Linked DNA regions of Arabidopsis thaliana. The protein of the gene in region 1 interacts with the protein of each later gene in a pairwise test. Each region holds a gene or a part of one and is shown in the gene's direction. Other genes may lie near its edges. The genes, in order: AT4G23770, AT1G54120, AT5G09450 and AT1G54770.

Region 1 (7,763 bases):
TAAAGGGAAATGCCAACGTTTTGATTTGTACTCCATGTCATGGTATACTTCAACCGGTTCTTCAATCTGGAGAGACCCCAAACAAAAATGAGTTTCTCAAGAACTTGAAAAGTAAAAAAAGTCGAAACAAAGATATGTTAAAAGCAAGCAAGTGTTATACCGTAGAGAGCATACAAAGCAGTGATTCGACGTGGTTACGAGATATGGAGTCACCAATAAATGCCCAAGATTTATGCCTCATAAGTTGAAGAAATCTTCTAGGGTCAAAACGTGGTAACAAACAGTCATGAGGTTTCCATTTCCAGTAGAGAAAATCTAAGTCAGGCCGGCCATTGGTGATACAATTTTGGTGACCGTCAATGAGTGATCCGCATGATTTGTTTGTGTAGATTGGTCCTACTGAATCTGGGATCCATTTTCCGGCGAAAAGATCACACTTCTCTACTTCAATATCTGATTCAAGAAACAACAACCACCCAAAAAAAAAATTAAGTCTCAATGTGAGATCAACTTTGATACAAAATGTTGTAACACTAGTCCAAGATCAATTTATTAGAAACCAGTCTTTGAACATTGCAGCTAATTAGCATCACTTATCAAATGATACAAGTCACCACAAGAATAACTTTAAATTAGAAGAGCAAGATCCATGAATTGTCATTTCCTTTTTTCTATTCTCTAAACCACAATCTAAAAAAAAACGTAAACAGAGCTTTAAATCTTGTAGATCCAAAACCCTTAGATCTCATAAATCATAATTGTGCTCACAAAACAAGGTTTAGTCACAAACAGTCAAACACAGTGGACAATACACATAGAAGTCAAATACTTTTGCTTTCTAAATAACTGATCTTACCTTGAGGAATCAGATCTTCATTTTCCGGTACGATAATCTCCGGCGGCAGAAACCGAGCTTCGAATTTTCCGGTGACCGACGCAAAGATTGGAGAAAACTCGCTGGAGTGGAGAATGAAGAGACGGAACGCGAAAAAAGATATCAGAATAGCGGAGATGAGCTTGATGAGAAGCACATTCTTATGATTCATGGAGATTGATGACAACTTCAACTTCATCTCAAGAAGAAGATGAAGATATGCAAACAGTTCAGTGAGTTGTTTTTGCCTTTTTGGTATTTGTGTGTTATGTTTATTCGACCGACCAAAGCTCTGGGGACTTTTCTTTATTATATGTTACTAAATCATTCGACCATTTCTAAAAAAGAACCATACAGTAAAATAATGAATAGAGACGTATTAATCTATTAATCTGTTTATATCACACAATTAACCAGACTGGTGATATAATGTTTGTTTCAATTCCTTCAAACACTATTTTATAAAAGGATTTCCTTAGTTAGTTAGTTTAATTACACTAAAATACTCAGATTTGTAAATTTTTTAACGATATTGTTATACATCTTTTTCCAAAACTTGAAGCACATTTTCAGACATTTATGATCAATATCATCTCATATAAATACATTCAAATCCATTGATATGAAGGATCACCTAATTAGGAGACCAGAAGTGTAATTAATTAACATGGAAAGAGTAGAAAACAAGGAAAGGCAAAAAAAGAGTTCAGACAGCAATACTTGGTGTTTGATTGATAATGGGCTTGGGCCGCTGGGCTAATGATTTGGGACTAAAATAAATATTAATTTTTGAATAATGATAATTAATTTAGTTAACTATCCATCTTCTTCGTTAACGTTTCCACTCTCTGCTTTCGTCTTTTCCCGCTCTCTGTTTTCTAGGGCTCATTAATCTGTGTTCCATTGTTACGATTCGACCTTTTCTGCACAATTTCTCTCATCTAACCGAGCTTATTTCTCTGTGATCGAGAAAAGATCAGCAATTTTACTTTCCGAGTAAGATTTTCTCGGGAAAACTCCTTTTCTCTGTTTCTTTAGTTTTCAGTTTGCATTTGGGAGAAACTGATAGGAATACTTTTGAGAAAGTCTGAATCTTTCGATTTTTTGCGAACATTTTAGTTTTGGTAGCTCAGTGGAGATTTGGGGTTTAGGGTTTTTGTAGAGTGAGACTGTGTGAAAGTTTCTAATTTGCGAGTGATTTCTCAGAAAATCTTTGTGGTTTTGTGTATTTTGTGTTATTTACAGGCTTAAGCTTGAACTTGAACACCAATGTCTAGTCTTGGGAACCAATCGGAGAAGAACAGCAATAACAAATTTTCCGATAATGTTCCACTAGCTCAACACGAGATTTGGAAAGAGAAATATGAGAGTTTGGTGACAGAGCACGAGAATCTGGTGAAAGAACATGAAACCCTAATCAAAACACTCGAGCTTATAGAGAAGCACGAAATCACATTAGAGGATTTAGTGAAGAAGAAGCAGCGAGAAGCATTGGTTGGGAAAGAAGAGATTGAAAAGTTTGACAAGGAGATTGGTGAAAGGAAGAAGATGCAAGAGATGCTTGATAAGGATCTTGAATACTTAAAGTCTTGTGAAGAAACTGTGATGAATGGTATGAGTTCAGGACCAAGTGGTGCAAGAGTTGCAGACAAACGTAATGTGAACAAGTTTGAATCACAAGAGGGTAATTTTAAGTGTTTTTTGATATGTGTCTAACTAAATGTGTTAGCATTACATAAACTAAACATGTTTCTATTTGCAGATGTGATAGAGATTAGTGACGACGATGAAAGAACCCAAAGTGAAAGCAATGTAGGAAACTGTAACTCATCACATAAGAATTTAGAGTACTCCTTCATATTGTGATCAAGATGTGGAGATGGAGAAGCACAATGTCAGATGTGGTGGTGAAACTGGAAGTTTCAAAATCTTTGGAAGTTAGTAGAAGTAGATGACTATGAGTCTCTCTGATGGACTAGGAGGGTTGATAAGATATGAAAGTTTGTAGTGTAACTGTGTAATAAGTGATTTAGCCCAACACAAAGTTGTAAGAGAAGCAGCTTGCATCATTAATCTACTTTCAGATTGTTCTATATAGTAACAACTAAACAAAAATTGAAATAACTAGCTAGTTTATGATATTCATTGAATCTGATGATAAGTTTATTCCTCTTGGAAGATAGAGATGATTATAGCTTAGGACAGGGAAGTACAAGGTCCTCATTTTTTTTTGGCCTCAAAATGATGTTTTTTGACTTTGTACCTTTTTTGATCCAAGTGCACTCTACTTCTGCAATCATAGAGTGCTTCAACAAGAGAGGGATTAACTCCAGTATTGCCCTCAAAGCATTCTTCAAACGGAAAGGTCTTCAAGCAAAGGTATTGTATATAAGGTTGTGATTGGCGACACAAAAATTGCGGATTTCAACACCTAATTCGAAAAACCGCACTATTGTTACCAATCACCATTAATTATTACATATACACGTTTTTTACTTTTCTATCAAAACACTATTCGCGTTTTTCAAAATAAGCTAAAAACTTACAGACCGCTTTTGAAAACAACAAACTTCCATAATCATGCGGTCCAACCAATTCCGCAGTAAATTTTACACATATGTTTTATTGTATTTTTTAATTATTAGAAGCATTTTTATAATTATATATATAATTTTTTACCCAAATAAACATATCTAAACTTTTCTTTCGCTTTATTATAACCTGTCTTTTTTTTTCTCTCTCTTTTTTCGACATCATCATACTTTTCTTTAGGTTCTATTATATAGAGAACTTTTGGAGTTTGGAAAAAAAAATGGAGGATTCTTTCTGATTTTTCAAAATATAATGTTCGTATTAAAAAAAAAGTGGTAATGGCTATAATGAGATTACATAATTTCAAACTTTTCAGATGCAGATTTTGCAAATGTAATAACAGAGACAAATAAAAATAATAGAGATTTTGATCATGATTTAGATGACATAGAAGTAACAGAGATAACAAATAAAAAACATATGACGCAAATAAGAGACAATATTACAAATATGTTATGGGAAAATCAAATTAATAAATAATATTTTTTAAATATTTTTATGATGAAATTAGTCAACACATGTAACGATATGTTTGTTATAAAATTAAATTTATATTTTGATCAATTTTTGTGTTAGTAGTTTATAAATATTTGTTATTGTTTATTTATTAACACAAAAAAATAATTAATTAATATATATATATATAATTTATAATCCGCACTGCAAGTAGTTTTTTTCACCAATCAAACATTATTTTGTACCGTTTATTTTGTACAAACCGCACTAATTCTGCAAATATATTTCTTCCGCACGTACCGCAGTTGAACCGTACCGCAGTGTAATAACGCTTTCCCCGCACAACAAAAACAGCGGTTACCATTCGGACCCTAAGTCTCTGCATATAAAATCTGGAATATGGTTAATCACTAAAACCAATCACTAAAGTAAAGTTGAAGGAGACAAGAAGAGTGTATCAACTGGTGAAGATGGGCTTGGGCCACTTGGCTAAATGAGTGGTGGAGATTAAAACTTAAATATTATTTTTGAACAAGGAAAATGAAATAAAGTATCATCTTCTTCGTTACTAAACACTCGTCTCGCCTTTTCCCGCTCTCTGTTTTCTAGGGTTCCATTGATACGATTCCATCTTTGTCGCGTAGTCTCTATCATCGACCCGAGCTCCTTTCTTTGTAACTGAGAAAAAGATCGACTTTTTTCTTTTCCGAGTAAGATTTTCTCAGGAAAAATAAATCCTTTTTTTCTCTGTTTCTTTTGGTTCCGGTTTGGGTTTAGGACAAAAATGGTGTGAATCCGTTTGAGAAAGACCGAATCTTGTGGACTGTCTCTAACATTTTAGTTTTGTTTTTGGTTGCTCAATAAAGATCTGAGTTTTAGGGTTTTGTAGATTTTAAAGTTTCTCTTTTTAAGGACACATTTCCAATTTTTTTTGTTAATCAGGTTAATCTTGAATTGATTAAAGACAACAATGTCTAGTCGTTTGGACCAATTGGTGAACAAGTACAACAAATCGTGTGAAAATGTTTCATTTGCTGAACACATGATTTTGAAAGACAAGTATGAGAGTCTGGTGATAGAGCATGAGAGCCTAATTAAAACGCTCGAGTTGCTAGAGAAAACTCATGGATTCACTGTTGAAGATCTGGTGACTAAGCAAAAAGAAGCATTGGAGAAGAAGGAAGTGATTGAAAAGTGGGAGAACAAGTTTGGTGAAATGGAGAAGAAGCTAAAGACTGTCGAAAGGAGTATCGAATACATAATGTCTGTTGATGTTCAAACCGGTGTGGATTCAGGTAGTGCAAATAGACCTAATGTGAAGAATAGTTATCAAAGAGGGATATTTTAGTGTTTTTGATATGTGGTGTGTCCACTTACTCTATCAAACCATGTTCTCTGACTAAATCTCTATGCAGATATGTCGACTAGTGAGGACGATGATGGAAACCGAAGACAAAGAAAAGGAAGACTCATTAACTCATCAGATCATGACCACTTCATTCTTTGATCAAGATCTGAAATCAATTTAGGAGATGGAGAAGAAGCACAGAGTCAGAAGTGGTGATAATGGGAAATTTCAAATCTTTTTAAGTTAGTAGTTCTTGTTGCTTTTATTTCTAGTAGGTGTATATGACTATGAATATCCGCTGCATTGTTCTTGCTATTGGAGTAAGGAGATTAAGATATGAAAGTTAGTATGTTAAGTGGATTTAGTATCACATAATAAGGTAGTAAGAGAAGCAGATTCCATCTTAAATCTACTCTCACATTGTTCCATAAACCGTTGAAAAAGAATTAGTTTAGTGATTGAACATGTTCTGTGTTCTTTAATGAATATCTGAAGATGATGAGCAATAAGAGAATCTGATCAACGAAAAAGATAATCTGTACGAATGAAATCGACAACACGGTAGTAAAGAAGTAGTTTGCAACAGATGATTTGAATAAGTTAGCGATCGAGGATGAGAGATTAGCCAAAATAAGAGGGAAAGTCAAATGTAGAAACTTTTATTTCTTCTTATAAATATGCTCTTTAGAGTTTGCAATATTCAACATACAAGACAACAAAGGGGAAACAAGGCATGACCCAGCTTATGAATCCAAGGCATGACATTAAAATCAATTACATGATTACAACTCAAACGATAAAAGAAAATCGGAACAAAGAACGTTATGAAGGTCTCTTTGTAGCTGAAGCTGCTCCCTCAGAGTCGTGATCTTGACTCGGTATCGAGAACTTCTTTACTTTCTGTAACATTCATTGTTCAAAACAAAAAGCCAAAAACTTCAATGAGAAATAGAGAGATTTCACTAGTTTGCACTTAAACGTGATTCTGTAAGGATCCATGTTACGCATAAAAGTTATAACCCATCAAGATCAAGACCAAGAATGGGAACAAAACCAGTTCCTACTTTGATTGCTACCTATAAAAAGAGACTAATAGTGAGCTTTCTCATTCTCTAATGGCTTCCACAAGAAAATCTGTAGTTTCTCAAGAATCATCATTGCATTGTTTCTACTTTTCTCGAGAGTAAGGGTATTAGCTTAGAGTAACCTAGTGTCTATGACAATCACTCAGAAACTGTTAAGTGTAACCACAGAGTTATTAACACAGATGTATCAAGTAAAGCTCCAAATGCTCCACCAATAACTTGGCATTTACATATTCATTACTCAGTAGTAGAAAAAAATGTGATAATTTCTCAAAAGTTTTCTATGAGAGACCAAGAGCAGCTCCAAAATTGTCATAAAGCATAAGTGACAATAACGATTCGATATATCTTGATCGATCGATGATAGAATTTTAAAATTTAGATACCTTGTCCTAAAAATTCAACTGACTTATAAAAAAAAAATGAATCACGAGCTCGTAGATCAGTAATTAGAGCGATAAAAAACCAACCTTTGATAGAACGCATTCTCTGAGAGATTGCAAAAATCGGACGCATTTCTCTTGATCGAAAGGAGACTCCGCGACGCAATTGAGAAGTTGGAGAGCCTCTTGGCCGCAAATTGGTTGAGTACTCTGTTTCTCCATTGAAGGTATAAACCCTAAAGAGGGGTTTCTCAGAGAGACAAAGATGTTTCCAGTGAGACGGATCACCCACGATCTCGGGGGCGACGACTCAAAAAAGAACAAAATCTTTAATGGGCCATAAAGCCCATCTGAGTTCATTCATCAAAGCCCTTTTAAGCTTTCTTTAACTCTTGTTCAAACTTCTTAATTAGCCCATAATGTTTTGACTATCAGAACAATATTTGATATACATACAATTATAGTCGTGGATGGTTGGTAGATGATAGATCGTCAAAAAAATTAATGAATGACGATGTAGTATAGAAGAAACACAATAATTTAAATAATTGTACATAATATTGAAACGTTGATTACACAAACCATCACATATTAACAACATTAACTTTGATCAAAAGCTGATTAGTACTCGCTACATGATCACCAATTCTTATAGAGGAACACACACAAAATCTCGGGGATATTTATGATGTTATTAAAGCCGTGACCATCGTCACAAAACTAGTAACGTTATAACACCTATATGGTACAATATTCACACTCAAATTAGATTGTTACATTATGGAGAAGATAACCGAAAAGGTAGTTGGAAGGTTAGTTCAGTAAAATTGAAAGGGAGAAGCAGAGCAAACATGTTAAGTGCATGGGAATGGCACGAGAAATGGTACGTGAAATATGAAGATGAATTAGACATCATTTAATTTCTTTGTTGGTCCTTCTTTTAATGTATTTATTAATGTGTCTCTGCCACTTTTCATGAGACACTGTCTCACTCACTTTCTATTCCACATGTATTTTTACTATCC
Region 2 (7,090 bases), on another chromosome or scaffold:
ACTTAGTGTCAAACATCGCATTGTCAATGAACGGTGGAGATGGGGTACAAATCGCGTTGTCTGGTTGCTACGCAGGTCCAATGTTTAACACGCTTGTTGGGTTAGGTATGTCGATGTTTCTTGGTGCTTGGTCGAAAAGTCCAGAGACTTACATGATCCCGGAGGACAATAGCTTGTTCTACACTCTAGGGTTTCTAATATTCGGATTGATTTGGTCTCTTGTGATGCTCCCACGCAACGAAATGCGACCGAACAAAGTGATGGGCATTGGTCTTATTACACTGTATCTGATATTCGTCACTTTCAGGCTTAGCTCCGCCATGGGATTCATACCTTGGGCTTCTTGAAACGCCATTGTTGCCAGCTTATTGTATACATCATGTTGTTAGAGATATAGCCCACTGGTTCTGAAGTAAATGTTGTTTGTATTATTATGCTGATGTAACTGAATGAATCTGAGCCATTGGATCTAGATAGTTGTGGTAGATCTCGATCGTAGATTGGGACAAATGGATTATGTATTCGAAAATGGGGACTAATGGGCCTTAGTATAAATGGGCCACGGCTTAACTCAATAGTGTTGCCCCACTTGTTTCGTTAGCTTCCACTTGTAGTTGTACATCGTCGTCACGTGGTAGTGCGATATTCGTATCGGAAAAATTAATTGTTTATCTGATTTTCAATTTTCATGTTACGTAACAAAGAAACATACGTTGTTATTAAAATAGTTTATACCGATTACTATTGCTTAGCTAATAATTAGATTTAACTAATCGACAAGAGAGAATAACAAGAAGTTAACGACAAGAAAAAAGAAAAAAGAAAGGACAAGAAGGCAAATAAATCATTTTCTTGGTGAATGGTTTCCAAATTATATTATAAACAGTATATAGCATAAGTTATCATGTACCAAATGATTCTCTCGCATTAAAGTGAATAGAGAACAAAATGGGTCCAAAGAGCAATGTAAGTATGTGCCGTCGTGGAGACCAAGGCGTAAGGTTAGGCATGTCGTAGAGACTTATCTACTACATATACACATTTATATATTTCTCTCTTGCGCATGAAGTAAATGTATTGTGTCATACCTTATGTCACTTGACCACCCTCTTATTATAAGTACTATATAATATTTATGAATTTTGAATTGATACCATATAGTGTATCACAATCTCGTAACATTATATAGGTACTATATAATAGTGTTTGAATATGCTCAACTCGGGACAAGACATCTAAGAACATGTTATATCTTATTGCTCTGTTCTCGCAAAAAGACAACTCTGACACTCATATGGGTTGTGTTTAATTACTTTTGGGTTTATATATATGCCATTTTGTTGTTTTTACTGGCCAGTTTAACTTTAATATTCATAACAATTAGATTATATGTGAAATATATCACCAGATCTAAAAACATTAATTTATGATCGATAAACCAAAGCATTTTTTTCCTTTTTGTGAGAAAATGTTAAAACATAATCTTATGGTTTCTGAAATAATAGAGAATTGTTTGTTTATAGAAACAAAACATAGAGTTCAGTATATGTAATATTATTTTGATATTTACAAAATCAATGTTTAGAATACCGAATTTAAAACTACATATAGCGGGATTGCTATTGTTGATCTTTCGATTTAATGTCGTACTAGATTTAAACCCGCGGTATACCGCGGGGACAATTTATTTTCTTAAAGTTAGTATATATAAAAGTTTACAAATTGTATCTATCAATAAAAAATTTTCATTTTATAGTTTACAATTGTTATTAACTAACGTCCTGCCAAACCCGTCCCGTAAAAAAACCTATTTATTTTATTAATGTTGATCTTATTTATGATATGTTTATAAACCATTGTCTAAATAATTTGTAATTTTGTAGTAATTAATTGCTATCAAATATCTCTACGGTTTGCTGCTTATAATCGAATTGTTATAGTCATAAAAAAAAGCAATATCAAAAATGATAATTTTGTAGTATTTAAATGATATTAAATATTTTGGAAGTTTTATTTTAGTAACTAATCGTATAGTTAATGCAGAGAGATTTTGGGAAGGTAGTTAAATGCAAACATTTAATTCAAATATTTACTTTTTAATTATCAAAAACATTTATTAAATGTCAGTGACAGCCACTGTAAATAAGTCCCAACTTGAGGATTTATTTCACAAAGTGGCTGCAAAAATGTATATGTAGATTCGAACTTTTTTTCTTTAACCACACATTAGTTAAAAAATAACTTTCTAACTATTTTAAAATTTATATTTAGCATATTTTTTTTAAAAAATGAGTCGAATTAAACACACACTATAGTTTTATATGCAATTGATAATGATATATTACCCTATAGAAAACGTATCCGTTATATTATATTGTACTCAAGTTATGTGGACCACAATATAATATATATCGAATTAATAAACATTAAGTTGAAGACAAGCTCAGCGACCTATCTTCAGTCAATCATTGAAATTTCTTATCATCAAAGAATTGTAGTAAAGCATATACAAAAATAAGAAGACATGTGTATGTTATTAAGTGTTTAAAAATTACAGAAATTGTTTTATGATTCAAAAAGGGAAGACATGAAAACAAGTTCATGCTCTCTGCATGAGACCTCTAAACTAAATCGTCTTTCTTTTGCAATATTATTGGAAACAAAACAAAACATAAATGTGCTGCCCATTTCTAATCAAATTGATATACCTCTCAATTTCTCCCTATCTTTTTTGTTCTTTTCAAAGTATAATTTAACAAATTTTGTATTTGTTATAGAATCCACAAAGAGTAAATTTAATATAGAATCCGAAAGAACACATATACATATATGAGATTGATATGTGGTCCAGTATAGTTTTATGACAAAAATGTCGTGACATATAGGCCATATCCCTTAAATCAAAATTGCATATACTAAAAAGAAAAAAAACCCAGGCATCGTGGTCTGGTGGTAAAGGAACCTCGACTGAGGCGCCCGCCACCCGGGTTCGATTCCTGACCACCAGGGAATTAACATGCGGATTTGCTTTGGCGCCTCAGACCACCAGTTCCAGGGGACCCTTAAGTAGAGGCTCAAAAATCCCTGGTCGCGGGCTTCGGCCCAGTGGATAGTCAGATCACTGTGTGGTCAGGACACTAAATTATAAATAAAAAAAAAACAAATTTTTTTTTTTGCATATAATACTATCTTACGAAAGATGTCACATGTCACATGAAAGGTCACTGACCCCAAACTAAAATGTATATACACAATTTTATATACGTGTATGTGTGTCTGTATATATTAGTTTCTCAATGTGGCCTCTCTAAAACATAACAAACTCTCTTTCTCTTTCTCTCTCTTTTTTCTTGTCAAAAAATTACTATCCAAATGGATCAACGCATCGCCGCAATCCCCGTGTTCCGGTGGTCTAGGAGCCGTCGAAAGATTCATATCCGTCGCCGTAAGTCGCAGGTGGTACGTCTTGGTGGGAAGAACAGTGCGGTGTCACGTGGCGGATTCTCGTTAAAGAAGATGGTAAGGAGGATGAAGCTGAGATGGTTGAAGCTACACTACGTGAGAGTTGTGAAGAAGATAAAAGTGTTTTATCGTAATTTGGTTAAAGAGTTCGTAGACGCAGGAGCTGAGCTTGAAGCGATTCAGCAGCGAATGGCGGTTGAAGCGGCTGCGTTTGCGGTTCCCGGTTTAGGTCTCTCTTTCTCTTCTTTTTCAGTCCATGACCGAGCACGGTATTTTCTTGTATAGCCAAAATTATATTCTTTGTAACTTTGTATTATTTTTCCTGTTGTATCTTATATAACTATTTTATTGTAATTTGTTAAATTTTAGAATCATCCCTGGTTGTGTCAAAAAAAAAAAAAAAGAATCATCCCTGGAAAATGAAACTGTTATCAGTATATGGTTATATAGTTTATTAAATACGATTTGTTAAATTTATACATATTAACAAAATAATATTTCATAAACTGTAAATGACATGTAAGCAAAAAAAATAGTTCTAATATTATGGTAGAAAATCTGCAATTCAAATAATCATTCTCCATCTATTAATTACAAATTATTTACGACTCACTCTGGTGAAATAAAATTGCTTTACTTTGTTATAAGTTTATAAAGTTTTCTTTTTCTTTTACTTTTGAGGGATGAAGATTAACTAAATTTCGTTATTGTAACCAACAAGACAAATTTTATTCTCTACAATAAATGATAAATATTATATATCATACATGCACATCAGTCATCAAACGAACAAGTTAACACCAATAGTGAGAGATTCATAATTAAACTATGGTCCTGAACGGATGCTGATTTTCAATTCAGTTTTTGGATTTAGATTTTAGTTTATAGATTTTAGATTTTAGTTTTAGTTTTTTGATATTATAGTTTTGTTTCAAAAACCCCAAAAATTGGTTTTTGGTTTTTGAGAAAAATAATGTTGATTGAGTAAAAACTAGATTTCTTAAATTTTAGGAAAACTAAAAAACTAAAATCATGAATGAAAAACTCCAACAAAATTATTTTTTTAAATTGTAGGGAAACCAAAATTTTAAAATCTTGATTGGTATGAAAATAAGTTTTTGAAAAACAAAAACCAAAAACTCTTAAAAAATCTACAAAACATTCAAGGCCGTTGATAACTGTATATAAAATACTAGTTTGATAAAGATAAGAGAACATATAAGTAAAGAAATGAATTTTTTTTTTTACACGACGTTGTCCTCTTTTACAGTATCAAATTACAAACATTTGAATGAATGTATTGTCTGGGCTTGGTAACGTGATTGATCATGGAATGAGATGAACTAGAATCTTGTATTGTAAGTGATTGAGTTAAGGTGGCATTAGTTGCTAGAAATGCAATCATCAGACGATGAATTATTAAATAAATTATCATTTGATATTCAGATCTCATATTGATACATGTACCGTGTTCTTACATGACAAACTCGTCGTTTCCCCATAAAATTCGAATATTTTAACACTTATCTGGACTTTCGACGATTGCTTTAGATTCGAGAATCTCAATGCTTGTATATTACTAGTACCAACTTGAATTATTCTCAGTTTTCCACACATTTGAATTATTGTATAACCATATAGTATTAAGTTATTATCACAGTTACAATTTAAAAAGTCATTATGTAAACATCTGCTAGAAATCCATGAAATATTATATACTTCCTCTATAGCATAAAATTGTACGGTCGGATATAACAATATATTCCAATTGGGAACGACATCAAGAACCTACCATGAATTCGAGTTAAAATAGTAGATTTGGCACTGAAATGTTTTATGTTTTACATTGCAGTCATACTTCAAAGATTTAGTGGTTCTTGTTCTCATCATGTCCGAGAGCATACCTATCTAAATTTTGGTTATTACTTCTCGGTTCGATCCATTTGGTTTTCCCCACAAGGTCCAACCCACGAGCCTAGTGTTGTCTTTAGTGACACATAACAATCCTCGCAGTAAAATATGCTATTGATATCACGACTTGTAAAATATGATAGATATCAAGCCTCTATTAGTAGATGGATCAAATCATACATCATAAGTTCATAACCTACGAAAACAACACTACATTCAAGCCAGATCAATAACTAATAGCCCAATGCAGTAAAAATGGGCCTAAAAGCTTGCTCGTTTTGCGTTTATTTTTGGGTGAGAGAAAAGCCCATAGGATCACGACCGGTCCACAGAAACAACAATAAATCAAGCCAGACCAATAAAAACTACGGTTTGACATTGTTCCCGTTACAGACTAAACCGAAAATAAACACGTTGTGACGAATGGTACGTTAGTTATTACGTGGTTGCGTGGAAAAGAAGAAGTTCCACGTGGTGACTAAAGTTTGCACGTTGCCTCTTGACACTTTTGCTTCTAACGTAACCATTTCTAAATTTTGTTTTGGATTCAATTAATTTCCACGATATTGAACGTTTATATTCAGAAACTCATGTATACATGACTTTTTCAGTTTCCGACCAACAATTTAGGTCTCATTTGAATTGATTTGGACATGAAAATTGTTAGAAAAGTTATTAAATTGATGTATTATTTACCAAACTTTTGTTGCATTCTATCGAAAGTCAATTACAAAAACAGGTGTTGATATTATTGACTTAAGATCGTTTAGAAGTAAGAACAGTATATTGTCGTGATTAGTTTGACGGGTATGATCGAATCGCAAGACTCAAACAGGACCGTCGATTTTATAGGGTAAACGATTCCCACAAGTCACGGAGGCTGAGAGCCTTGAGCGTAGGTGCTGACCTGGCACACAAATGTAAAACTTGGCCACCAATTAAGACACGTGTCTTGTTAAGCTCCGTCCCCTTAGGCCACGTGGCAACTGTTTTTCTTTGGCAGTGATGGTTCTTCTTTGAGAGTTCGTCGGTGTCCTTATCGGAAATGTAAGAATTCGTAAAGAAATAAAAGTTGGCAATTACTATAACTTAGGCTGAAATGTCTGTATTGTCCTTAAGCAATACCATCAAAATTTAATAATTTTGTTAACTAACAAAATTATTGAGAACATTAAAGTGAAAAAACCATTCGACATATTCCAATTTTTTCACATTCTTTGTTAAATTTCTGATTTTCTCCTTCTCTATGACTGTTACACAATTGATCAACGGACGTAAGGGTTTGGAGTATATTGTACATTTTTTTTTCTTAAACGAGAGGAGAAAAAAAAAAGAAGGGATTCCTCATCCGCAAATAGATTCATTGAATCAAAAAAAATCCCAACCAGACAAAAAACATTAGAATCATGCAGTGGATCCCACTTCCGACCATTTGCTGATTTTTCCGTAAATACATTCTAGATATTTTTTTAAAAGAAAACGCAATTTAGATTTTAAATTCTAGATTTTAAATTCTAGAGAAGTAATTCGCGCAAAAACTGTAATCAAAGTTTAAATTCGAAAATTTTGATTAGTTTACGTTGATCGAACAAACTACAAAGTACCAAAAAACAGTTATTTATAGTTTCATAATCACAAATGGATAACGACATTAGTAACAACATTAATAACATCATCTTAGTTTAAGTCAGTAGTAATCTATGGTTAAACAAAAAGG
Region 3 (8,351 bases), on another chromosome or scaffold:
TTTATCCGGACATGCACGGAAGTGTTTATCCCTGTCGCATAATATCTACATTTCGAAAATTTTAAAAACCAAAAAATAGTACTACTTGATAATACACGTTTATGGAAACTACCACGTCACCCTAAGAAGAACCTTACTACAGGCTGTCCAAAAACTTGCCTAACCAATTAAATATATCCACGTGGCATACGTTGACATGTACGCTCTTTGCATTTTACAGCTCTTGCCCGTTCAAAAAACCTCGGTATATAAATAAGCTCTCAATGGTTTCACAAAACTCATATTCAAAAACAGAACACAACCTCTCTTCTCACTCTATATACTCCCAAAATGGCTTATAACTACCGTTTTGCCATTCTTCTCGTTCTCCTCTCCGCCACCGTCGGCTTTACCGCAGCCGCGTTGAAGCCTCCGGTTCGAACCTTGAACGGAAACATTACTCTTAATCTCATTTGGTACGGAAAATTCACCCCAATCCAACGGTCCATAATCGTCGATTTCATCCGCTCTATCAGTTCTGTCACCGCCGCCAAAGGTCCATCCGTCGCGTCGTGGTGGAAGACGACGGAGAAGTACAAAACCGGCGTTTCAACTCTTGTTGTCGGTAAACAGCTCCTCCTTGAGAATTACCCTCTCGGAAAATCCCTAAAGAGCCCTTACCTTCGTGCTCTGTCAAGCAAACTTAACGCTGGTGGTGCTCGGTCAATAACCGTCGTCTTAACGGCGAAAGACGTCACCGTTGAGGGACTCTGTATGAACCGATGCGGGACTCACGGGTCAAAGTCAAGTTCCGTTAACAGTGGAGCTTACGTGTGGGTCGGAAACTCTGAAACGCAGTGTCCTGGTTACTGCGCGTGGCCGTTTCATCAGCCTATCTACGGACCTCAGTCTCCGCCGTTAGTCGCACCTAACGGCGACGTCGGAGTTGACGGAATGATTATAAACATCGCGACTCTTCTTGTTAACACCGTAACGAATCCGTCTCCAGAAGCTGTCTCGGCTTGTACCGGGATATTCGGTTCGGGTGCTTACCCGGGTTACGCGGGTCGGGTTCTCGTAGACAAGACGAGTGGAGCGAGTTACAACGCTTTGGGTCTCGCCGGTAGAAAATATCTATTGCCGGCGTTGTGGGATCCTCAGACTTCGACGTGTAAAACTATGGTTTGAATTTTAGATGGTCTGTGAACGAGACACGTGGCTAGAATTGATGGTGATTAAAAGCTTGTTGTAGTCAAAGAAAGTTTGTAGATATCTATCGCGTCTGGTTCGGAGTTTGGGGAAAGGGATGTGTTTGTTTTGTTATTTTGTTATGCCCTGTGTAAATTCGATCTTTGGAAATATGTGAAAGATAGATTCATATATCTATTTTAATAATAACGATTTGTAGTTTCCACCTATAATCTTATAACGTTAGTATATACTGTATATAGTATGATTAGTATCAAGACCTTGTTTTAACTTTTAACCAGAGGAATCAAACTTTATAGATAAACGAAAAATGGATTAAGATATTAATTATGTTGTGTTGATACCAATGATACGGTAAAAAGAACAAACAAAAAGAGAGAATGAATAATCTAAAGGAAGGTGGAGAATAAAGGCGATGTTGGGACTTGGGGGATAAGAGAAAAGAGAACATATAGAATCACTTTTTCACTTTTAATAAAAGCTATAGCTTATAGGTTTTGGCGTATTGCTTACTAAACAATAGTATAGTATTTATTGTGGGACTGGAAAAAATGATTTTATTTTTATCATCCAGTTTTTCCTACCAATCTCACCTTTTTAGTAACTTGAATTGAATTGTCCCATAAATTCTTAAATATGAGCAGTGGGTTGGTTGGTGTTGAGTGCTTCGAGCAGGCCTGTCGAATCAATGGACTCTACTGACGATAGTGAAAGCAGTAAGCTTTCAATGAAGTCGCTCCAATAACAACTTGTTAAAGGTTTTATTGGAGGTTACACAATTTACACCTACAATTATTTTTATTCGTTCAATAAGAGCCACATTCTTTAAGAGTTGGTAACACTGAACCCCATAAAAATCATCTTGGACTCCAATTTTCACATCCAAACATTTCCTAATCAAGTCATATATCCAATGTTTTATGTCAAATCTATTTCACTCCCCCTTCACTTCAAAACATCTTCCAATTCTTGTCCTCACATCAGATCCCTGAACTCAAATGATAAAGAGTGTTTTTTTTTTTCCTTTTTCCCCTAATATCTTTTACTTTTCAATGCTAGACACTAGCCCTGGGACTAAAATCCGCTAACCGCGAATATCCGGATCCGGATCCGTGATCCGCTCCGAAAAATCGGATATCCGGACTAAACGGATCTGAATACGGATAACAAATTTATGGATCAGACGGACCCGGATCCGGAGCCGGATAACAAAAAAAATTACATCCGGATATCCGGATCCGTCAAAATATCTACATATTACTAGTCCTGAGACTAAAATCCGCTAGTAATATGATATTACACCAATTAAGCTTATACATTGATATCATGGGCTTAATACATACTGATATTATTAATCTTATAGCCCATATAAGCCCAATACGACAAAGTGACATAATTTGAGTTTGTTTGTGATTTGGTGGGACACGTCATTAGGGTTTCACAACTTGTCTTCTCTCTGCCGCCGTTCTTCCATCACCATCTCTTTCACCGTCTCCAAACCATCTCCTTCACCGTCTCTATCTCATCTCCATTGCCATGAATCCATGAACGAGATCTTCTCCTCAGTCGTTAGCCCCGCAAGAACTTCTCGTCAATGGTCACCACTTACCTCCGACTCGAGATCGTGCGCTCGTCGCTTAATTGGGAACTGAATCAATGTCGTTAAAGGTGAAGAATAGAAGAAAGCCATGGCTTGGAAATGGTGGTTTGTAGATTGCGAAAGCTTATGACAAACATTGGTGGATTCGATCTGGGTTGTAAAAGAGAATCGGATTTGATCCCCATAGAAAAAAAACGGATCCGACGATTTTTTTTGCGGATACCCGGATTCCGAATATCCGTAGCAAACGGATGCGGAGCCGAATATTATATCTACGGATCCGGCGGTTACGGACCGGATCCGGATACTCCAAAAAAACCCGGATATCCGGATCCGTAACAGGCCTACTAGACACTATACTTTATTTTTTTTATCAAATATGAAATGTTTACTTTTGAATATACTATGCAAATTGCAAATCTAACTCTAGGCAAGTCTTTAATTCTCTATGTGAAGACACCAAAACGCTTGGTTTCAAGTTCCAACTGATAACTAGTAACTAGTAAGTAACCAAAAATATAACATTTGAATCTAAAGAGTTTAAAGGCCTCATTAGAGTCCTGAAAATTTATAACAGAAAAAGTATCAGCCGCATGATAGTTGATAGCAACTTCTCCATATAATCGTGTTTGTAACAAATAACGAAATCGAGAGACTGGATAGAAATAAACTAGATTGAGAGTTTACAAAAAAGAAAGCAAACGACACCAAATCTATAAAATAATAAGAATCAAGAGTTAGCCTTCAACTCCGTAAGCCCATTCAAGGCCTCACAATAACCAACCCAAACATTCCACGCCTTATACCAATCCCCAAATACTTAATGCCTTCAACTTCGAATTGCCACATCGTTGGTGGTTGTTTATCTTGGAGCTAATGGGCTGATTTTCATGGGCCCATTAGATATTTTTGCTATTTTTTCGACACAAAATTGTTGAAACTCGAGTTTCTCGAAGTAAGTGATCGGTTTTTAGATCTTTTTGGTCTCTTCAGTCGGAACTGAAAATTCATGGCGACTCGCTCGCTCTTCCATAGTCTTAGATGGTGAGTCTCCCTCCACCTCTCTATGTCTCCTACTGATTTCGTATTTGTTTCCTGAGATAATTGATTCACACTGCTTCTTATGAATTTAGTCGATTGACGAATAATGGTGTTCTCGGAAGCAATTTCATTCGAAACGCCGAATCGTCACGATTCTCCAAGTCGTACAATGCTGACGCAGCAATCGGAAACTCCCTTGTCGAGGAATCGGAGGAGAAAGACGATCTGAAGAGCAGGATTTTCAGATTGAGACTTCCGAAACGTAGCGCGACTACTGTTCTCGAGAAATGGATTGGAGAAGGGAATCAAATGACTATCAATGAACTCCGAGAGATCTCCAAAGAGCTTAGGAGAACTCGCCGTTACAAGCACGCTCTTGAGGTACTAACATCGATCATTTCCTTTTTCATTGGTTTTTCTTCGTAGCTCCTAGTTTCTAGATTGATTGCACAATTTATGATTTGTTATGTGTTGCTGCACAAAACTGCATTCTTCTGGGAGCTAATTCAAGTATTATTAACAGGTTACAGAGTGGATGGTACAGCATGAAGAATCAAAGATCTCAGATGCTGATTACGCCTCACGCATAGATCTGATTTCAAAAGTTTTCGGGATCGATGCAGCTGAACGCTACTTTGAAGGTCTGGATATAGATTCAAAGACAGCTGAAACCTATACTTCTCTCCTTCATGCTTATGCTGCCTCCAAACAAACCGAACGAGCCGAGGCCTTGTTCAAGAGAATCATTGAGAGTGATAGTCTCACTTTTGGTGCCATCACATACAACGAGATGATGACTTTATACATGTCAGTTGGGCAAGTTGAGAAAGTACCTGAGGTTATTGAAGTGTTAAAGCAGAAAAAGGTTTCTCCGGATATTTTTACTTATAATTTGTGGCTAAGTTCATGTGCTGCAACCTTTAATATAGATGAGCTTAGAAAGATTCTTGAAGAGATGAGGCATGATGCTAGTTCCAATGAGGGTTGGGTTCGGTATATCGATCTTACTAGCATCTACATAAACAGTAGTAGAGTAACTAATGCAGAGTCTACTTTGCCTGTCGAAGCTGAGAAATCTATTTCGCAAAGAGAATGGATCACATATGACTTCCTTATGATTCTGCACACTGGTCTAGGGAACAAGGTTATGATAGATCAGATTTGGAAGTCTTTGAGAAACACCAACCAGATATTGAGTAGTAGAAGCTACATTTGTGTTCTTTCATCTTATCTAATGCTTGGTCATTTGAGAGAAGCCGAGGAGATTATCCATCAGTGGAAAGAGTCTAAAACGACAGAGTTTGATGCTTCTGCTTGCTTGAGGATCTTGAATGCTTTTCGAGATGTTGGTTTAGAGGGAATAGCCAGCGGCTTTCACTTGATCTTGGTGCATAACAAATGCAGCTTGGAGAATGAAGGATCATCTTAAGATGGAGAAATAAGTTGGTGAAAATTTTATGCTCTTAGCAAGAAGAATCAGATCAAGCTCATTAATCATGGTGGATGAATAAAATAGAGGTTTCTTCTCTTCACTGTGATTCTTAAATATCTTTTTGTTCTTTACGTGGGAGGTCATGAGACACATAGATTTCCTCACCAGAAGATTTTGCTGCATAGTCGGAAGATGTGTTTCCTTAGGCAAGGTCCATAACATTTCATATGTAACGTCAAATTTCAAAAAGTCCAAATTTTACAACAAAAAATAGATTGTGGAGGTTTTTCTTGTATGGTTGTTGTTTAATAATAAGTCTACAAAATTTGTTTTTGGTATAGAAAAAATGATAGTTTGAAAGGTTAGAGCAAAATCCTAGCATGTAAGAAGCCAAAGAAGGTTCCATTATTAACACTCGAGTTTATTACATGAACATGATACACAAACATGTTTAGACCCATGAGAGAAACAACAGAAGCAAATAACATTACAATAGTACAAAACTACAAGGCCTTTGAAGAGCTTAAGAGCCAGAGAGATTAGAAAAAACAAAAAAGATGACAAGTTATGGGATTGATAGCAACAGAAGAGTAATAATGAGACAAGAGAGAGTGGGGACATAGATTTTCACCTAATGAAAGTGGGAAGATTTCAATTTCCACAAGTCACAACCACTCCAAAAATTTCAATATTTGCCTTTTTGATTTTTCTTCATCCACACCCACCACCACCAGACCTTCACAGAGATATTATTATTACTCACGAGTAAAGATAATTATTAACGATCAATGAGCACCAAGACTTTGCTTTTTTCCCTTCTTTCACTTTTCTTCCACTCCAAGCACAGAAGAAAGTGACTTTTTTTTGGTTCTTTTTTGAGAGAGCATGCCAAATCCAAAAGTAAACCACTATTGATCCAGCTAGATGAACAGTGGATACGGTCCCACTAGGGTCACCAGGCGTGTTCTAATTGTTTCAAACCCACGTTAATGAATTTGAGAGAATCTTCTTCATCAGTCCTTTACCTCATTGATTATCTTTTGTCCCATGTCTTCTCTTTAACCAACCAAACATGCCTTATCAATAGGACAAAAGGGGTTGTAGGTTTTTCACCAATGGTTATTCAAACCCTTTGATGAGTTTAAGCTTTGCTTCAGCAACTTGAGGTAATCAATGGCTTCGTCTAGTAGTAAAAGAGCTTCTTTTCCCTTTGCCCCTGGAACTACACTCTCCAGGATTCTCAGAGCGGTGTGAATCTTGTCTTTTCTTGACTGCTCGTCGCTCAAACCAGAACCCGTTTCTTGTTTGCTTGAAATGTTTGATTCAGGAAGGTTTTCATCTGATAAGCCTTTGACTTTAGTGGTGCCCACAAGGGATGGTGATGAGTCTCTGTACGAATGGTCCAGTAGTTTCTGTCTTTTAAGAAGTGGACCATCAACAGTGCTTTCAGTTTCATCCAGCTCTTCTGTTGTTATGTTGCACGCTTGTTGTTCAACTGTGAATGGAGAGTGACCAGTGCTCATTACTTCATCATCACTTTCCCAATCATCATTATCGTCATCATCAGAATACAGTAACGCGTTGATTTCCTCAGTGTCTTCGTGCATTTCCGAGTCTTCTTCGCCATTTTCATGATCTTCATGTTGCAATATCTTTTCTTGAATGGCATGATCTTTACTAAACCCTTTCTCTGGGTGTAGGGCACCGAGAATGTTCCCTCGCTCTGCATCCATAGAAGAAGGAAACCGCAGAGGAAATCCACATTGTAACAAACGAGTCTGCTCTCCCGACTGATCGAATACTATAAATCTTTTCCGAGAAGACTTGAGTGCCCCCTCTGGAGCAGCACCGTTGCTAGATCGCCCATTCAAACATGAAACTTGTTTTCCACAAGACTGCTGATCATATCTAGACAATAAGGCTTGGAACGGTGGCTGCAAATAGCGAAACTGATGCTCAGCTGCATAAACTTTACCGAGTTCCGGAAAAGGAATTCCAGGACGGAAATACTCAGTCGCCTTGTCCTGGACACAAGCTTGAGGATTTAAGCCTAATGGCAACCATTTCTGCTGTTTGGTATCAAGAGGCATGCTCTTGCAGTTTAAGCCAAGGGAACTTTACAGGAATACAATACTGCACGAAAAAGGAAAGGGACTAATCATTGGACATGGCTATGAATGAGACAACTACTAGTAGCCCAACTCAAGAAAGCAATAATCCATAAAGAGTCAAAGATTCAGTTAGCATACCGATTGTGGAAGCTGTTGCTCAAATGTGTGGAACGCAACACTTGTTGATTCTTTCTTGAAACAATCGTATAAGAAAGTAGAGACAAAAAGAAAAAAGGTGCCAGCTCCAAAAATACAAACACAAGCTCACAAACCAACTACGTCACTGGTTTGAGTATATGTCTAAAGTATTCAGCCTGCAAGTGGAACAGAGACAAAAGTGTTAGATAAGAAACACAGGACTATGAGATGAAATGTGACAAAAAAAAGAGTATAATATCATTTTTGCTGCAACAAACCTGACAATTATCCATCGGTTGGAAGCAAGCAATAACTCTCACTACAATTGTTGGTCTGCTAGAGTCTCCGTTGTTCTCGTACTTGAATGTTCGAAATCTTGTTTGACCAGCTGATTGACTTACCATAATAATAACTTTTCCAAACTCTCGAATGTAAAACTAGTGTTTCTCCACAGAACAGAGTAAGTCACCAAAAGACAGATGACTTGAAGAAGAAAAAGAGAAGCTTTAAGGGTTTAGATGATCCTATACTGGTCACAGTGGAAAACGTAGAAACGTTGGGATCCCATTATTAAAGAGTTTAGAAAAGGCTGAGGATTTAGAAGAAGATTGAAGATGGGGTTTTTCAAGGCAGAGAAAAAGTTTACAGAATAACTCGGCAATACAGATTCAAGCTCACAACTTTACGGTACACATCAACAGACCTTGTGAACCAACTCATGCTGTTTTTCTCATTCACTGCTTTGTTGTGATCCAGAGAAAGAGAGAAGAATTCTGTTACAAAACAGAGAATCATCTCATCAAATTCCAGTAATAACAAACCAAAGAAACCAAACATTCAC
Region 4 (8,484 bases), on another chromosome or scaffold:
AATTATTCATCAATCCTCAGAATAATACAAATAGGGGAGTAGGTATCTATCTTGTCACCCTCTCTCTCTCTCTCTTGTTACCAAGATGAGCTTCTACAAAAGAAGCTTTCACTCTTTCCTTGGCCAAACCAACACCAAAGGGATGCCGTTTGAATCCGGTCTTGGCCATGATGAGACACAATCACATGGCTTAATGTTGTGCACAGAGTATCTAGGGTTTGAGAGTTACGACATGAGGATGTCCGATAACGAGGTGGAGAACAAGATGACTTGTCATGCGGAGGTGGAGACCGAAAGGGTTGAAGCAAAGAGGAGGAAGACGAAGGAGAATGTGGTGGTGCAAGCGCAGAAAAAACAGTTTCCTCCGCCTCTCTCGTCATTAAACAGCCGTGGACAGCGATATTTTTATCTCCGTCCGGTGAGAAAAGACGGTAGATTGGAACTTACGCAAGTTATGGTCGATCGACCAGAGATTTTCCACGTTTCTAGAGTAGATGGACGGTTGAGATTACATTTTGTCGATGGTGTCGAGAATCCCATTAGAGCTTATTCTGGTCCTCAAGAAATTGTGGCCTTAGAAGAGGAACCTAAGGGTCTAGGTAATGAGAAAGAGGGAGGGGAGATTAGTAGATCTGATCTGGAATGTGGTAGAGAGATTAATGAAGACGACAATGATGGTGCATGTAATCAAGGAATGGATTTATCTATAATCAGTGATGATAGTGGTGCAAGAAGTTGGAGATGTAAAAGTAGTCATGATGTTTCGGTGAATAGTAATAATGATGTTGCACATTTCCATGATGACCATGACACGAGAGAATGGATGTACAACAGTGGTTTTAAGATCGTGGCAAGTAGGAACCATGATGAGAACAATCATCATCATTATCATCATCGTCATCGTCATCATATTCATCCATACCATCATCATAATAGTAACAATAACATGAATTTATGGACCCGGACGTACGTGAGGACCAGGTGAGGTTATTAATCAATGTTTTTTTTTTTTACGTGGCGGCTTGAAACAAAAAATATATCAACTAAAAAAGAGTACAGCTATATTTTCTCTGGAAGTTCCGTTGTATTTTTATAAAATATTCGAAAAGTCAAAGGTTGGGTGTTGTTATAAGTAGTGTCAACAATATGATAGCGTGTGAGTGTAATATTATTGTTCGTTTAAGATGCTTATGTATATGACTTCCATAATTGAAACATCTTATTACAACTTTCAATTTTCATATTATTATGCCTTTTTAACAAAGTATTATTCCAATTTTGATTACACCGTTTTTTATTTATGTAATTTGATCAAAATAAAATCGACAGATAATCTCTTCAAAAGTTTAGAGTTTAGATGTTCCAGTTTTAAAAATAATTATGATGAATCCGGAATAGGCCACAATTTTTTTTTTTTAATACAAGATTTTAGAGTAAAACTCGTAATCCTCTCAGACACGAAACGACAACATGTAATATTAGTTTCGTTCCAAAAATATCGAACTGACGATTTTTAAGCTTCGGCTAAGAGTTTTACTAGTTCAGCAATGATACTTAGTGGAATAGGCCACAATTCATATGTTATAATTCAATGTTTCATCATTTAATGTTTTAGAATCGAACTTAGTTTGGTGTTAGTTAAAATCTTTTCGACCCTCGTAATTAAGAAATAAGGAAAACATAGGTGAAAAGATAGAAGGCAATGTAACGCAAACGAGTCTGTCTGATCGGTCCAATTGTTGGTCATTCGTCCATATATAGCTGTCTGTTGAAAATTGGAACATTAATGTTGTCAAAATTCTAAGATTGCAGGTTGCATTTATAGACTCCATTTCCCTCCACAATCGACAGGTCACAGGCCTTTACGCCACATATAACCCCAAGATACAATGCATATTTAAAAGTTCTTGTGAACTGAAGAAAAGTTTCGACGGGTTGAGATACGAGACATTGAATTTTGGAGAAGAAAACAAAAGCTAGGGAAAAAGTTTGTGGTCCGCAAAACATTGAAATGCAATAAGAAAACTGAGTTAAAAATTAGAGTAGGAGCCGTGTTGATTCCCTAGGAAAGCTTCAAGTATAGGAGATTGCATGAAACGTTTTGATAACGGAAATGTTAAGCCTAATAAAAGGAAGTCACCTCCTTATGGGGAGTTTATTACGGCCTATACATCGCATGTAGAAAACGAGTTTCTCGGTTAGAACTTAAAATGGATTTGGAAGTAGTGGTTGGTTTTCTGAAGATAAGGGTTAGTGAAACTTATCCGCTGTCTTTCCTGTTACGCTTGTGACATGGCTTTATATCAAAGGATTAGAATATCAAAATTTCACATATTTACCGGGAGGATAATCGTTTTGCGGATGAATTAGCTAACCATGCTTTTTCTTTAAATTTAGTTTTTCACTTTTTAGATACTATTCCAAGATGTTCTCTTTTGTCGGATGATGCCCGTTGTTTGGCAATTCGATGGCATGTTGTTGCTTGTTAAGTTTTTGTATGTTGCTATGAATAAATTTGGGGAGGCATTATCTCCCCGTCCCCTACCAATTTCTTTTTTTTTCTTCTATCCCATATATATATATATATATATATAAATTTCGAAAACTCTTTGCTTTCATTTTCTTAAAAAATCACGTAAACATAATTTTAGAAATAATTAAATAACAACTTATAATATTTTTTTTTCTTCCCATATATATAAACTCCGAAAACATATAGTCGTATATTATTTCTTAAAAAATACTTTCAATTGACTTTTTCCTTTTGTATTAAAATCTATTCTCCCACATATTTGGTAGTTATTTAAAATTGTAGTTCATACAATCACAGTCTTTACCAATTAATTTAAAAATCATACAGTCAAATTCCTTACATCAAAAATCCTTATAACCTTTAACTATGCGAACAACAAAGATTACCAAACTTCCAAACATTGATCTACAGATTGACTAATTTTTATGCAATTTAAATTACTACCATTTTTCCATCTATATAAACCCAATCTTGCACCCACAAAAAAAAAAAAAAAAAGAGAAACACATACTTAATCTAAATTTCTCCTTTCTTTATAGTCAATTCATATTTTTGTTTTCTTCCAAAATGAATCCCAAGAAAACCAAAGGAAAGCAAATGATTAACATCAAAAAAATTGAAAAAGATGAAGACAGATTGGTCACATTATCTAAGCGTCGAAATGGAATCTACAATAAGCAATGAGCTTTCCATTCTCTGTGGTGCTGAAGTTGCGTTTCTCGGATACTCTTGCTCAGGAAAACCATACACATTCGGCAGTCCGTCTTTTCAAGCCGTGGCAGAGCGATTTCTCAATCGTGAGGCCTCATCATCGTTGCAACGATCGGTCATGAATGCTCACCAACAAGCGAAGATTCAAGAGCTTTGCAAAGTATACAATAGAATGGTGGAGGAGGCAAAGACGGAAGAAGCCAAAGTAAAGAAGGCAGCTGCATTAGCGGAGACAATGCCCGTAGATGAGGATGCGTGGTGGAAAGTGGATCCAAAGGAGGTGGAAGATCACGAAGAGGCGAAGAAGATAATGGAAAAGTGTGAAGGGCTCTATGAGAAACTGTGTAATGAAGCTGCTGCAAGGATCCAAAGAGGAGATGCTGAGAATAATAACAAATGATCCATTAATGATTAAGATTTTAATTAGTAGATCATTACTAATTAAGTATTTTTGAGTCTTAAGAATTATGTTTTTTTTTTTGTCTTTTCTTTTTTATACATTATGAATTGTTATTGTTTTCTACAACATCCAGCAATGGATTAATGAAACTGAAATATTTTATACATAAAAGAAGCCCATTACAGCCATTAGGCCCAATTCGTGATCTATCATCTACTCAATCTCTAACCCTAATATCTCCAATCTTCATCTCCGTCGATCTCCATTGATCTCTAACACTAAAATTCTACTACTCTTCACTTTCTACAGCTTAGGAAGAGTTCTCGACAAGCTGATTCTTCGAGTTCTCGACAAGTTTCAGTGTTTTTGTTTCCGGGTCACAGAGAACAAAGGCAATTTACAATAATGGCAGAGACTAAACAACCACTGATCGGTCTTAAATGGGAACCAAAGCTTCCAGGCTTATCCTTAGACTTGAAAACTGGTTCAACCAGAAGCAAAACAGCTGAGAGTTCTAAGTCAGAGCTTGTTGATGGTCTTTGTCTTCCACCTAATGATCCAAGGAAGATTAACAAGATGATTAGAAAACAACTCAAAGACACTACTGGTTCTAACTGGTAACTCTTCTTTATCTCCTCTACTCGGATTAGTTTGATCCGGCTTGTGATTAAATTGTATTTCTTCAAACTGTGGATAGGTTTGATATGCCTGCTCCAACAATGACTCCTGAGTTGAAAAGAGATCTTCAGTTGCTTAAGGTAATAGATTCTTTTGCTTTTGTTGTTGTTTTAGGTTCCATAGTCCTTACATTATTCTAATTGTATCTTTATTGTAGTTGAGAACTGTAATGGATCCTGCTCTACACTACAAGAAATCTGTGTCACGGTCTAAACTAGCTGAAAAATATTTCCAGGCAAGTTTCAGAACTAGATCAAAGAGAATAACCGTCTCTTTCGGTTTCTGTCTTAACACAAACTTTTGTTGTAAAAAAAAAAACAGATTGGTACAGTAATTGAACCAGCTGAAGAGTTTTATGGGAGATTGACAAAGAAGAATAGAAAAGCAACTCTTGCTGATGAGTTGGTTTCAGATCCTAAAACTGCTCTCTACAGGTTAGTTACTACCATTGTCTATTAAGAAACAATGTATAGGAAATGCTTAAATTCTGTAAGTATTATTGATAGATGTAAGTAAAATAAGTGTGTGGTTTATCTATTCTATCAAGAATTTGTATTTTTGAGAATTTGTATTCATATAGCACATGTGCAATCTTTGTTAAGTGAATGTTTTTGTGTTGATTATGGTTTTACAGGAAGCGTAAAGTTAGGGAGATTGAGGAGAAGAGTAGAGCTGTTACGAATAAGAAATGGAATAAAAAGGGAAACCAGTCTAAGAACACAAAGCCAAGAAGGAACTGAATTATTTTTGTTAAGAGTATGATCATAGTTTTGGGACACATTTTTTCTATTTTTAATAGAATATGGTCATAGTATTGGATACACTTTCTTGCGGTGATATAGGTTGTAATGACTCTTGTTGTTTATGGCCTTTGTTTAAAGGATTTTGTGTTATTGGTTACACCTTTGATAACTGTAATAACTCTTGTTGTTTATGGTGCTTATGTTATGTATATCCAAAACCAAACCTTGTCTAGAGCTACTAGGTGGGAAACTTGTTTCAGCAAGACTGAAATTGAGTCCTAGTTTACACCTTTTGCAGAATTGCAGGGTCCAACCACGAGAGCATCGAGTTTTATACTTTCAGGTAGCACTCATAGTACCTCCCTGTTTGAGTCATCTGGCACTGACCATGCCACACATATTTATGTCAGCACAGCAAAACTTTGGTATTCAGCAAGATCTAAATTATGTGACTTTCTTCTTTTGAATCATAGTTGTAATGAGGAGGCTAAGAGTATTGCTGCAGCTGCTTCGAGCAGGGGAAAGATTGAGGTCAGTTGTTTGAATTTTTGTTTTCGCTCGGCGTTGTTCTATGATATTATATCAGCTCTTTGGAATTAAGAAGATGAATTGTGTGTGTAGGATTTAAATCTATGTCAAGTTGAACTGTTTAAGCTTGCTTTTTTTTTTTTTTTGAATCTGTGTATTGGCTCGGTGTTGTTAGAATCTAATTTCTTACTAAGTATCTCGACAAAGTCAGTTTCTTGGAGAGTGCTGATTACAGGCAGTTTGAGAAAGAGAGAGACGCTAGTTTGAGAAGACACGATGAGACCGACTCCTCTAACGTTCTTCTACATCTGCTGTAAGTAATCTTGTTTTCTGTTCTGTTAGAGAAGTCTTCTTTAGTAGACTTTGTAGCATTTTCTCAAGTGATTTGGTCACATTCTTTGGCAGTGTCTAAACCGAGTCCCCGTTTTCTTGATTGATTCGGATTTATTTCTTATGTCTCTCTCGAGAGAGAGTTCAAAACTGAGACCATCCTCTCTGAAGGCCATGGCCAATGAAATGGGCTTGCAATGCAACGTAAGCCCAACTTGAATCCCACGATTCTAATTCGAGCCGATATCTGAAACAACAATTCATTTGTGACTGCAATCTACACCAATCTACACCTTGTTCTTGTAAATCGTTTGTTTTCTTAGTTTCTACCTAATGAAGCTCATTTGGTCTCTATACAACATAAATTTCTTCTTTTGGTTTTGAAATCTAAAACCTGAAGTAAAGCTTGATTGATTTGGTTTATGGATTGCAGGGGAAAAAGTGGCTCTCTCTTTAACATTTACAAAAAAAAAAAAAAGTGGCTCTCTACAGAGTTGATAGTCGTAAACAAGCAAGCTCGTGTTAGGTTTTTTCTATTGTTGGATGGTTTTGTATCAATGTTCTCAATATTGTTTTACTAGATAATGAAGATAACTTTTATATTGTAAATATATTAAATTCATTTTGTAATTATTATTTTTTGGACAAATATAAATGCATATATAAGTAAAAATGTGATAACACGTTTCATTGAGTGTATATTTAAAATGTAATTATGCAAAAAAAAAATTAAAAAATATTTAATTAGCAATTTAGAAGTTTAAACATCAATTCTGTTTTGAGAAAATAGTATAGTTTATAGACATGTAGTATAGCTAATGTTTATTTCACACATATGCCAATTTTTAGTAAATAAATCGTGAAGTGATCATCACCATAAAATCTGATGGCCGCAATTCAAACCCATGTAATCGAATTTTGTTTCTAAGATAGAATCTAACACAAAATAAATTAGTATACATACATGATATATTAATTTTTTTTTTGTAACATGATAGATTAATTAATTTAAAGATAAGAAACCACACACATAAATTATTTATAGATTTTTAAAAGTTTCAATATTTATTACATAGAAACCCAAAAAATCCATCATAAAAGCGGTTATCAGGAGGCGTGTAAAATTTCACTTGAGCAAATTTGTTTTGGTTGCAGAGATTTTTGCAAGCAATTCTCACAAAAAGGAAGAGTTGCCGTTTTAGAATCTTTCATGCACTGATTTGGGACACAATGTTTAACACATACTTCTATCGTACTCGCGTATGTTGAAACTATCATCGTTAATAAAACTACAATCATCAAAACACTATATATCTTTTTCATTGTTTCAGTTGCCATTATTTGAAAATATGAGTTTGTGAATGTTTGAGGTAATAAAAATATTGTTTAGGTTATATAGCAAAAAAAAATTAACAAGATAATTAGTGTTGAGTTGGCTTTTTGTAGTTTTGTACTTTATATAGCAAAAGTATTTTTATCCACTTAAAATTATTGATTTTGGAAGTATATCCGTTTCTTATTAATTAAAAAGTTAGTTTTTTTTTTGTTTATGTTATTAGCTGTCCAAACAATCTTGCAATGTTAAATCGTCATTTACCAAAAAAATTGCCAAATTTTCACCATTGTCAATAATAAGTCAAATATTTTATAATCTTAATTCAAAAACTATCCCCTAAAACATGATTATATAAAAAAAAAATCGTATTGATGGGTCGAGATATTTAGCATTAACTTATAAACCAAAATGAATTTACAGGTTGATTTGATCTATTTAAATTTATTGGATTCATAGGTTGACCTAATTAATTTAGCTAAATAATTTATCTAACACTCAACTAATTAAGACAATAGATGGTACCCATAATAGATTAAATTTGAGTAACTTCAAAAGTTTCTATTCAGTTTTTTTTCTTACAATTTTTTTGTGGTATTAATTCTAAAGCATTATCAATAATATTGTCACATTTTTAAAAATCTTATTTCAGAAATTATCCCCTAAAAAAGATTATAAACTAGAACCTTTTTTTTGTATTGATGGGTAGAGATATGTAATCATTTAACTTACAAACCAAATTGAATTTACATGTTGATTTGATCTATTTAAATTTGATGGATTCATGGGTTAACAACAACAAGAAAAACAAAATTAGTTTAATATTATACCACATGTCACGCTCTAGTGAGAATGTTAAGAGTTTATGTAATAACACTAACAAATTTTGTATATTTTTCCTATACTATAAACATTTTTAATTTTTTTTTTTGAATATATTAACAACAACAAAATTAATAGAATGAGGTTAATAGTTTAATATATTAGCATTTTTTATATAAGAAGTAAATTTTATTTATTTTTGAATATTTAACAAAAACAAAGTTTAATAAAATTAGTTTAACAGTTTAAAATAGCAATAACAAAAGTCGAACATAAAAACAATTTTTTTTCTTACTTAATATATATATTTCTTTTTTCGATAGGATTAAGAACTTTTGTATTTCTATTTTTAAAAATATTAACAAAATTAAGTTTAACATCTTAAGTTTTAAAAATTTGGCAAATT

The links.
Region 2: the proteins of AT4G23770 (region 1) and AT1G54120 interact in a two-hybrid assay, tested with the Arabidopsis thaliana proteins (one large-scale study listed by BioGRID).
Region 3: the proteins of AT4G23770 (region 1) and AT5G09450 interact in a two-hybrid assay, tested with the Arabidopsis thaliana proteins (one large-scale study listed by BioGRID).
Region 4: the proteins of AT4G23770 (region 1) and AT1G54770 interact in a two-hybrid assay, tested with the Arabidopsis thaliana proteins (one large-scale study listed by BioGRID).

What each region holds. Positions count from the first base shown.
Region 1 is NC_003075.7:12,381,180-12,388,942, reverse strand, and holds AT4G23770 (uncharacterized protein), read left to right. Parts: upstream 1-4,446; 5' UTR 4,447-4,892; coding exon 4,893-5,217; intron 5,218-5,337; coding exon 5,338-5,429; 3' UTR 5,430-5,779; downstream 5,780-7,763. Other genes in the region: TBL24 (TRICHOME BIREFRINGENCE-LIKE 24), read right to left, coding at 1-66, 161-453, 857-1,073; AT4G23780 (uncharacterized protein), read left to right, coding at 2,144-2,558, 2,637-2,740; AT4G23760 (Cox19-like CHCH family protein), read right to left, coding at 6,093-6,170, 6,826-7,098.
Region 2 is NC_003070.9:20,203,706-20,210,795, forward strand, and holds AT1G54120 (uncharacterized protein), read left to right. Parts: upstream 1-3,224; 5' UTR 3,225-3,372; coding exon 3,373-3,747; 3' UTR 3,748-3,850; downstream 3,851-7,090. Other genes in the region: CCX4 (cation calcium exchanger 4), read left to right, coding at 1-347.
Region 3 is NC_003076.8:2,938,067-2,946,417, forward strand, and holds AT5G09450 (Tetratricopeptide repeat (TPR)-like superfamily protein), read left to right. Parts: upstream 1-3,731; 5' UTR 3,732-3,797; coding exon 3,798-3,832; intron 3,833-3,921; coding exon 3,922-4,210; intron 4,211-4,352; coding exon 4,353-5,258; 3' UTR 5,259-5,602; downstream 5,603-8,351. Other genes in the region: EXL4 (EXORDIUM like 4), read left to right, coding at 331-1,167; AT5G09445 (uncharacterized protein), read left to right, coding at 2,888-3,127; AT5G09460 (transcription factor bHLH143), read right to left, coding at 6,371-7,351.
Region 4 is NC_003070.9:20,430,754-20,439,237, forward strand, and holds AT1G54770 (Fcf2 pre-rRNA processing protein), read left to right. Parts: upstream 1-3,796; 5' UTR 3,797-4,049; coding exon 4,050-4,261; intron 4,262-4,341; coding exon 4,342-4,402; intron 4,403-4,479; coding exon 4,480-4,557; intron 4,558-4,643; coding exon 4,644-4,756; intron 4,757-4,956; coding exon 4,957-5,062; 3' UTR 5,063-5,408; intron 5,409-5,538; 3' UTR 5,539-5,700; downstream 5,701-8,484. Other genes in the region: AT1G54740 (FANTASTIC four-like protein (DUF3049)), read left to right, coding at 86-985; AGL85 (AGAMOUS-like 85), read left to right, coding at 3,159-3,644; AT1G54773 (uncharacterized protein), read left to right, coding at 5,870-5,906, 5,999-6,030; AT1G54775 (Plant thionin family protein), read right to left, coding at 7,031-7,261.